Linked DNA regions of Oryzias latipes. The protein of the gene in region 1 binds, or shares a complex with, the protein of each later gene. Links are inferred from orthologs where the notes say so. Each region holds a gene or a part of one and is shown on either strand. Other genes may lie near its edges.

Region 1 (3,650 bases):
GGGGTGACGAACAAATCAATGTAATTTTTATATGAATCGGCAAAAGTAAACTGTCGGATTTTCTTTGGCAACTGTGTTTTTTTGTTAACCACACACACATTTATGATATATATATATTACATTTTCACATTTTTTCACACACAAAAAAAAAGAGAGCAAACACCATATTTGCAAGCTTGTCATTACTATTGCCGTTTAAAATGTACAACTTGTAAATCCAACATTTTTCTCTAGTAGCCTCCCGATGGCGCTGGAGGAGTTAGGACGCGGTAGATTGAAATCGCAAGAAGGAGTTCTCCATATTTGATTTTGACTCTAGAAACCGTCGAAAGACAACCCAAAGCTTTGAATGAGAGGGGAATAAAGTGTAATTGTTCATTCTCTGATAGAAACATTCTGTTCTAAAAAAGCCCCCACAGAAAAGGTCATCTGATTGTTTATAGGTTAGTGGCGGTTGTGGTCATGTGACCCACTGGTTTATGGTGGAGTGACTCATTGCGAGTTCTTCAGCTCTGTGCTTGTTGTCATCTCGGCAGGATATGACACTATTAAAAAAAGGGGAATTTTTCTATAAACAGGCTTGTTGAAGGACAACCATAAATGTTTTATAGAGCTTCTGTTATCAATGAATCAAACACCCATTTTTTTTTTCTTTTTACTTTTTTTTTATTAAAAAGAAAAAAGACAGCACCTATATTGAAATGTATCACAGTCAGACTTTTAATAGTTTTAACATTAGCCACAGAGGAAAAAAAATGTTTTTTTTCAATTTTATGACCAATTAATATTGCATTGATCGCAGTTTCTTTTAGGTCTCTTGATCTATTTATTGGTGAAGGCAGGATCATCCTTTCCTTACCATTAAAAATGTGCAAAAACACAGAACAAAAATGTACAACAATTGTCACGACAAACCCAAAAGGGTTTTGTAGAGTTGGTTGTTCACTGGTGCACAATCTGAAATCAAAACATGACTTTAGTCATAAAAAAATCAAAATGTGGCAGTCTGTTGTAAAGTTTTACCATTTATTGCTAATATAGATATGGATTGGCTTACTGGTAATCAGTTACCAGCCCCCTGTTGGTTAATTAGTGGCCTGCACTGGCTCCAGCTATTTAAACAATATTCATTGAACTTTGTAGAAACAGCATGGAAAAAAACGTACAGCTTGTATTCTAAAAAGAACGTATAAATATGTTTCACAGGGTAAAGGATGGACAGACAGAGACCAAGATATTAAGCAGATAACATGTTCATATTAAGTTGTAGCCACAGGCATTTTAATGAAGATGTTTTCACCCCCCTGAGAGGTCAGAATGAATTACACTTCCACACACAGAAGTTAAGAAAGCATTCAAATATTTTACCTGACAAAACAGATCTGCTCACCTAAAATATGCACGCTCCAGTAGTCTCTTAATTTGTCATCTTTGTGTCAAAGTGTCTGCCTTAAACAGTCTAATTACCTGAAAGGTGTGAGTCCCATTCAGCTCGGGTGACTAATCTCCTTGTGTGCGCGGCTGAAAAAACTGACACACGATGTACAGCATCAAAGGGCATTGGGGTAATTAGTGCTCTGGAAAACACACATTGCCTAATTGTCGTTTTGTGTGGGACTGTAGCCGGGGACGGTGAGCGCCATGGACTATGGGCTGGAGCGACAAGCAGATCCCAATGCAGAGGAGGTAATGGGTGAGTATCTGCATGACCTGTATGAACATAATTCCTGTCAATCGGCTTATGTTCATTAAGAAGCTTCAAAGGATGAATGCAGTACTTCTAAAGTGTCTTTTTTTCTTTTGTCTTTTCTCCTCTCTTGCAGGCGTATCCTCTTTAGAGTTTATTCTACAACTAAATGTTTTCTGAAAATTCTAACCTGAAAACTGAAATATAAAAATTTAACTAATGTATATATTTTCTCCCTTCAGACAAAAACCCCTGACCACTATGAGAGAATTGTAAGTCAGTTTTAGAGTTTTGTTTGATTTTTTTTTAAAGTCAACTTGTCATTGAATCCTTTTAGAAGCTGTTTTTCTCTGTTTATGCTTTGTGCAGATGATCTTTACCCAACAGTCAATCATGAGGCCCAGAGTGAAGTCATCTGTGTCCATTGGCGCGTAAGAAAGTCCATTATTTACCTTTTTTTTAAATATTCCACGGTAAAAGGCTATCTATGGAAGCTTAACTGTTTTCACTTTAATTTTCCATACATATATGACTATTCATTGTTTATAAATGCCGTAAAACTGTGATTGGTCTAGAACAGGGGTCACCAACCCTGTGCCCGCAGGCGCCAGTGCGCCCGTGAGCAACCCTTGTGGCGCCCGCAGGGAATGCACCCAAAAAAATCTTTTTTTTTTTTTATTGAAGAAAATATTCAACAAACAACCACGGCATGTCTGTCAATGACAACAATATCAATTCTGAGATAAAGGTAGACAAAGAAAACCCAAATATGTAAACAAATATAACTTAAAAAATAATCACTAAAAGTAAGGGTCTATTACAAAAGTTTAAATAGATCAAATAAATTACACAATTTCTGGACATTCTTATGATTCATGTAATGTAAAGATTTTGAGAATAGGTTGAGGTGGTTGAGTAATCCATTAATGTGAGGATTAATATTCCTGTCTGTTTTTATTTACATTTATGTTTAAAAAGTTAAAATTAAGTTAAAGTTTTAAAGGTTTAAAAGTTTAGCTTTAGTGTGTTCAATAAATATTTATCTTGTTCGGCTGCAACCTAAAGTCTGTTTTGAAATTAGGCTCCCTCTGCAACTGAGTTTGACCCCCCCCCCCCCCCCCCCCCCCCCCTGTATTACGAGTCTAGAAAATTCATGCATGTTTTTGTGTGTAAAATGAGCAAATAAAAATAGGGCACTCAAAAGGAAGTCCTCAAATTGTGTTGTTTTTTTTTTTTGGGGGGGGGGGGGGGGGGGGCTAGGAGGTTTTTAGTGGCGCCCTTCATACCACTTGGTGCCCATGAAATAGCCCTCGGTCTCAAAAAGGTTGGTGAACCCTGGTCTAGAATTTGCTAACTCTAATTGCAGCATTGAAGATTTGTCTCAAAACAGCAAAGGCTTTGTGTTTTTCTTTCATAACCTGGTGTGCAAAGGCACATACACCCCATTTAATGAGATGAAGCAGATTACCATAATATGAAAAGTATGTGGTAACTACTTCTTAAGAATGTATGAATGTAAGAATGGACCACATTTTAAGCATTCTGAGTAAATACAAGAATTTTATTGCCAACGTCATGCATGCATTTGAAACACTAACATATTTTTTGTCAAATTTTAGTTTTTCTTTTTAAAATGCAGGTTGTCAAAATGACTACAAATGTATTTGTTAATCCACTGTACAGAGATTACAGAGAGGAAACAAATACTTCAAATCAAGTTTTATTTTTTAAGTTCCTGACAAAGACCCACGCAAAGTCAATGATGTAAATTTTAGTTGTTGTGTTTCTGATGAGGTTATTTTATACAAAATAAATTGTAATGTTCTGTAAATTTTGCCTTTACCTGCTTTGAAATTATATTAGGTTGATAGTTTAACTATCTATTAGGGGTCTATATAATGTAGAGGTGACACTATATAAGATTGCTTCTTCCCATTATGTTTCAAGCAATAAATCCATTTGA
Region 2 (4,242 bases), on another chromosome or scaffold:
ACCAAATGTGCATCAAACAAACTACCATTGCTCCAAAATTACTTTAATTTAGCATATACTTGAAAGCAAAAACAAAAGTGATTTTTTAGTCATCGCTGAAAATAATTTCAAACTTGATGTTTGAATATTGCTAGATATGGAATTGGAAACTTTCTAAAGTTCACGTTTTCACTGTTCTGCAATCTTCTGAAACCACTCGTGTTCTTCAGCCAACCTCACCTTTGCACCACTCCCCAAATATCTTCAAATACTCTTAGAACTAAAACTATCAAGGAGTTTAAACCTGCATGTCATTCTCATTTAACACTCTGCTAACACTAAGGTTGTTAGGTCTGGGAGTAAAGCCAAACCTGAAATACCTTTAAGTACATTATCTTGGCAGTGTTTACAAACTCTTTAAACGTGTTTTGGTGGTAGAATTGTGTCAAATGAAGTATTAACATACAAAAGAATCCTGATTTTAGGTGTGTTTCAAAATTTTATTATATTAAATATACTTATGTACATTATCTGATGCTGCAGTACAGACCGTATGTACAAACCATCTACTAACATTTTGCAAAAGGTTTACATTCAACACTGCTTACAAGAAAACCCTGAAAAGGAACAGGCTTACAGTGAACAGGTGCATTAAAAGACAAATCTTATTGTAGGTCCCAAGGCTCGTTGAGATTTTAGTGCAGTGAAGCTAGATGCATGCCCACTGTAACCTTAACCCTTGTGCTATCCTATGACCCCACCCTTACATTGACGTGTCATTCCTACCATGCCAAAGGTGGATAAAGGTGGAAAGATTTCATGTAATCCATGGACACCAGTGAGGTTCACAAATCATTGAAGAAAAAAGGTTCAGAGCACTGTCTAGTGGGTCTAGATGACCCAACTCCCAATGTTAAAGTGCCTAGGATAGCACAAGGGTTACGGAAGAGGAGGTGAGGTGGATGTTGAAGAGTGCAGATTTGATCTTAGCCGGTCTGTGATAGCAGAAGCCAGGATTAACTGTTCTTTCTCTGCTGTATTGGGTTTTAACAGGCTTATATAGCATAGAACTAATGCTCAGACCAGATGGTACTTTTGCTTGTTTGAAGACATTTGACTTTCCTGAACCGAAGTGAGAAAAGTAAAACATCAATCTGCCAGACAGAAATGGGAATACTTATCCACAGGCTACATTTATCTCCAATAATCCACTTGGATTAGGTGTTGTTTGTGTCATTCTGGTGGCCAGACGCTGTCACGTAATTTGTGACTCCTTTTTCTAAAAATAAATTACCATTTTCACCCACTCTCTCATTCACAAAGCACACACAGACTACAATTATCTACATCTGATCAAGTGCAGCCCCTCTCCTCCACGAATTACATTCAAGAATTTAAGAGAAGTCAACAATGTATTCATATTGGATCCCCTTGAAGCCCTGTTTGCCTCCTGGGCAGGTGACAGCTCTTCCCTGTGGAGGCGCTCCACGCGCGGGGTGTCCATCCGCGTGGGCTATAATATATATAATTTTTTTATTTTGGTTTGTTAGTTTCAGAATATTCAGGACATGTTGATCACCAAATATCCTAAAACCAAAGCAACAGTAACGATCAAAAGGAATCCGATGACAGCGCCGACCGAGCCAAATCCACCGCCTCTACTGCCTTCACCTTCATCATCTTTGGGCTCCTCTTCGCAGATGGAGATAACGCCCACGGAGGAATTCCCTACACTCAGGTTGGATTTGAGTTCGGCCCCGGCTTCCTGCTTCGCCACGACGGCCCACGGCGCCACTTGGACCTTCATCTCCATTTCCTCCATCATCTGGCTCACCTGGGTGATCTCGCTCTGCAGGTCTTTCAGGTCCGCCGTGTCGATGTTGCTGTCCGCCTCGTACTTCATATTCTGCACGCTCATGGCGCGCGCCGCCACGGTGCTGGTGCTGCCGGTCATCCCCGTCTGGATCAGGTGTCTGGTGGGCACCTTAAGGGGGAAGTCCTGCCCGATTTCCAGGGACCTTTTCATGTCCACCTCCAGGAGCTCCATGCTGCTGGAGAACAGCACCCACAGGCGCTCGTACTCGGCGCGGTCTTCCTTGCTGATGGACTTGTCTTTGAGCAGGGTGGTCAGTTTAGTCCTGTTGGCGACTGCCAACTCTTGCGCCTTTTTGCGGGTCCTCTTCAGCTCCTCGCGCAAATTTTGGGAGTCTGATGTGCTTCCAAGCGCGATGACCAAGTGTCTGTAGCAGGCTGTGACTTTGTTCAAAGCATCTAGCATTGTTTTGCACTCTTCTTTCCCCATTGTTAGTTATAAAATAGCTGTATCCTGATTAGAAATTTTCAACAAAAAAAGAGCTTGAGGAAAAATGGCGAACTGTTGGTGGTGCTTGGAGCCACTGTGCACATGCGGGTTAGATTCCCCGGGAGCTCACCGCCCGCTCTGCAAATCCACTCAAGGCACTACTCAGAGCAAATTCCTCTCTATCCATCATGCTCTCTCCCGTAAATAGGCACAAAGGGAGGCTTAGAAATCTAAGCTTATGTCTTCTAGTCGGATTGATGATACCTTTACGCTTCCCCGACGCGGGATCAGACGGCGCCAGAGCTCCTCTCCTGCTGGACCACGGCGAACTGATGTGAAACAATTCCGCCCCCCGCGCTTCAACAAGACCCGGTGATTAAGCTCTACAGGTGCCCCGATATCCGCCCCTGCAGGAGAGCACGATGCCTTCACCGCCTCCCCGACTCAGCCACTCAAAGGAGTCAAAATCGTGGAGCAAAAATGGGGCTCTCCATTTACTGCTGTGAAGCATCCGGTGGCACAAGCTGAACGAGCCATTGCGCGTTCATCTGTTTATCTGCGTGGGGAGCTGTCCACTTCAGCACCCAATCGACGGTGTTTAAATAGCTGTGTGCGCCTTCAGCGGTCACATGCGGGCATAAAACGGAGCCTTTCAGAGGCAGGCAGGCAAACAAAAGGATTCACTCCCATTGGTTTGATCACTTTGGCGCCCGCCTACAATGCCTCCTGTCATTGGCTGCTCGGATCTCATATCACAGAGCCTCAATGGATCTGCCACTAACACTTACCACTCATGTTTTCATGATTTTAAGTTTCGCAAAGAAAAACACAAATAAAGTTTATGTAGGTGCATGATAAATGAGGTTTAAAATTATTTTAGCCACCCTTTCAACTAATTCAATTAAGAGAGATAAGACTGAGTGCTGTCACAATACATGCCCGTACATCCATGGAGACCACAAAAGGTGCCAATTGTTGCACACATGCTGGCTACATAATGTGCTGTTAGGTTTTTTCTCCTGCTGTGCTGAGAGGGTGAGTCAAGTAAGGCCACGAGGGGTTTGCCCGCTTTGCTCTTTTTGCATTATTGAAGCAGATGGGGTCTAATGATCCAGTAAATACAGTAGGGAGCTAATGGACTAAAGCACATGGGGATGCCAAAGGAAGCAATAAGAATGGCTCAATGTTTGTGTAACATAATCATTTCTGGATTTTCATGATCAATCCTGCAAAAAATAAAAAACTTCCCCTGGTTTCAGTCCCCATTCAAGCTTTATTTAAATTATTTAAAAATGCGTTATGTGATTTGATCTCATTAAATAATCTGCAGTGCATTGGCAAAATCTGCCATATTTGACTAATAAGAAATATCTTTCACTGAGTCATATGCCCTAAACAAATGGACTCTTTCTTTAGATGAAAATGTCACCATGGTAGTAACCGTTGGTGTTTTACCAGGTATTTCTTGGTTGTTATTCTTGAAGGTATTATTCCTGTTTTTTGTGGATCTGTATACTGGAGTTACTTTTAGCTGTTAAAATAGACGGTAATTAACTATTTGAATAGCTGGACTATGACTAGGCAGTGATGCTTGAGCCAGATTCTGGTTTTGAAACTTTGAGTGATTAAATTAAATCAATCATCACATTTTTTTTTGGGGGGGGGGGGGGGGGGGGGGGGGGGGCTGGAATGTCTAAGCCAACTGAAAAGTTTAATCTACATGCACATGAGTTATTTTAATCTTTATGAAGAAGACCTTGTCACAGTTCCTGTGTAAAAGAACTTGGCGCTTGGCCTATAAACAGGTCCAAACTGGGGAATTTGGGGCCATTTTATTCTGGCTTCATTGCCTTTTCAGAGAACTGCTACCAGAATGAAATCGGTACTGTTTGTCTCTGTTGATGAGATTGCTGACAACCTGGTCTGTAGGGTTCAAGTGCTGAGAATGAGTCAAGCCTTGG

Evidence for each region. Proteins that work in one complex are often made in the same cells at the same time.
Region 2: rgs9 (region 1) and regulator of G-protein signaling 9-binding protein-like share a complex: the UniProt entries of both Homo sapiens proteins name them as parts of the RGS9-1-Gbeta5 complex. The link is inferred for Oryzias latipes from reciprocal best matches to the Homo sapiens genes RGS9 and RGS9BP.

What each region holds. Positions count from the first base shown.
Region 1 is NC_019877.2:13,914,708-13,918,357, forward strand, and holds part of rgs9 (regulator of G-protein signaling 9), read left to right. Parts: intron 1-1,623; coding exon 1,624-1,686; exon of another isoform or gene 1,687-1,693; intron 1,694-1,929; coding exon 1,930-1,959; intron 1,960-2,056; coding exon 2,057-2,118; intron 2,119-3,650. UniProt on the Homo sapiens protein: Inhibits signal transduction by increasing the GTPase activity of G protein alpha subunits thereby driving them into their inactive GDP-bound form. Binds to GNAT1. Involved in phototransduction; key element in the recovery phase of visual transduction.
Region 2 is NC_019861.2:25,736,388-25,740,629, reverse strand, and holds regulator of G-protein signaling 9-binding protein-like, read right to left. Parts: upstream 2,938-4,242; 5' UTR 2,282-2,937; coding exon 1,541-2,281; 3' UTR 459-1,540; downstream 1-458. UniProt on the Homo sapiens protein: Regulator of G protein-coupled receptor (GPCR) signaling in phototransduction. Participates in the recovery phase of visual transduction via its interaction with RGS9-1 isoform.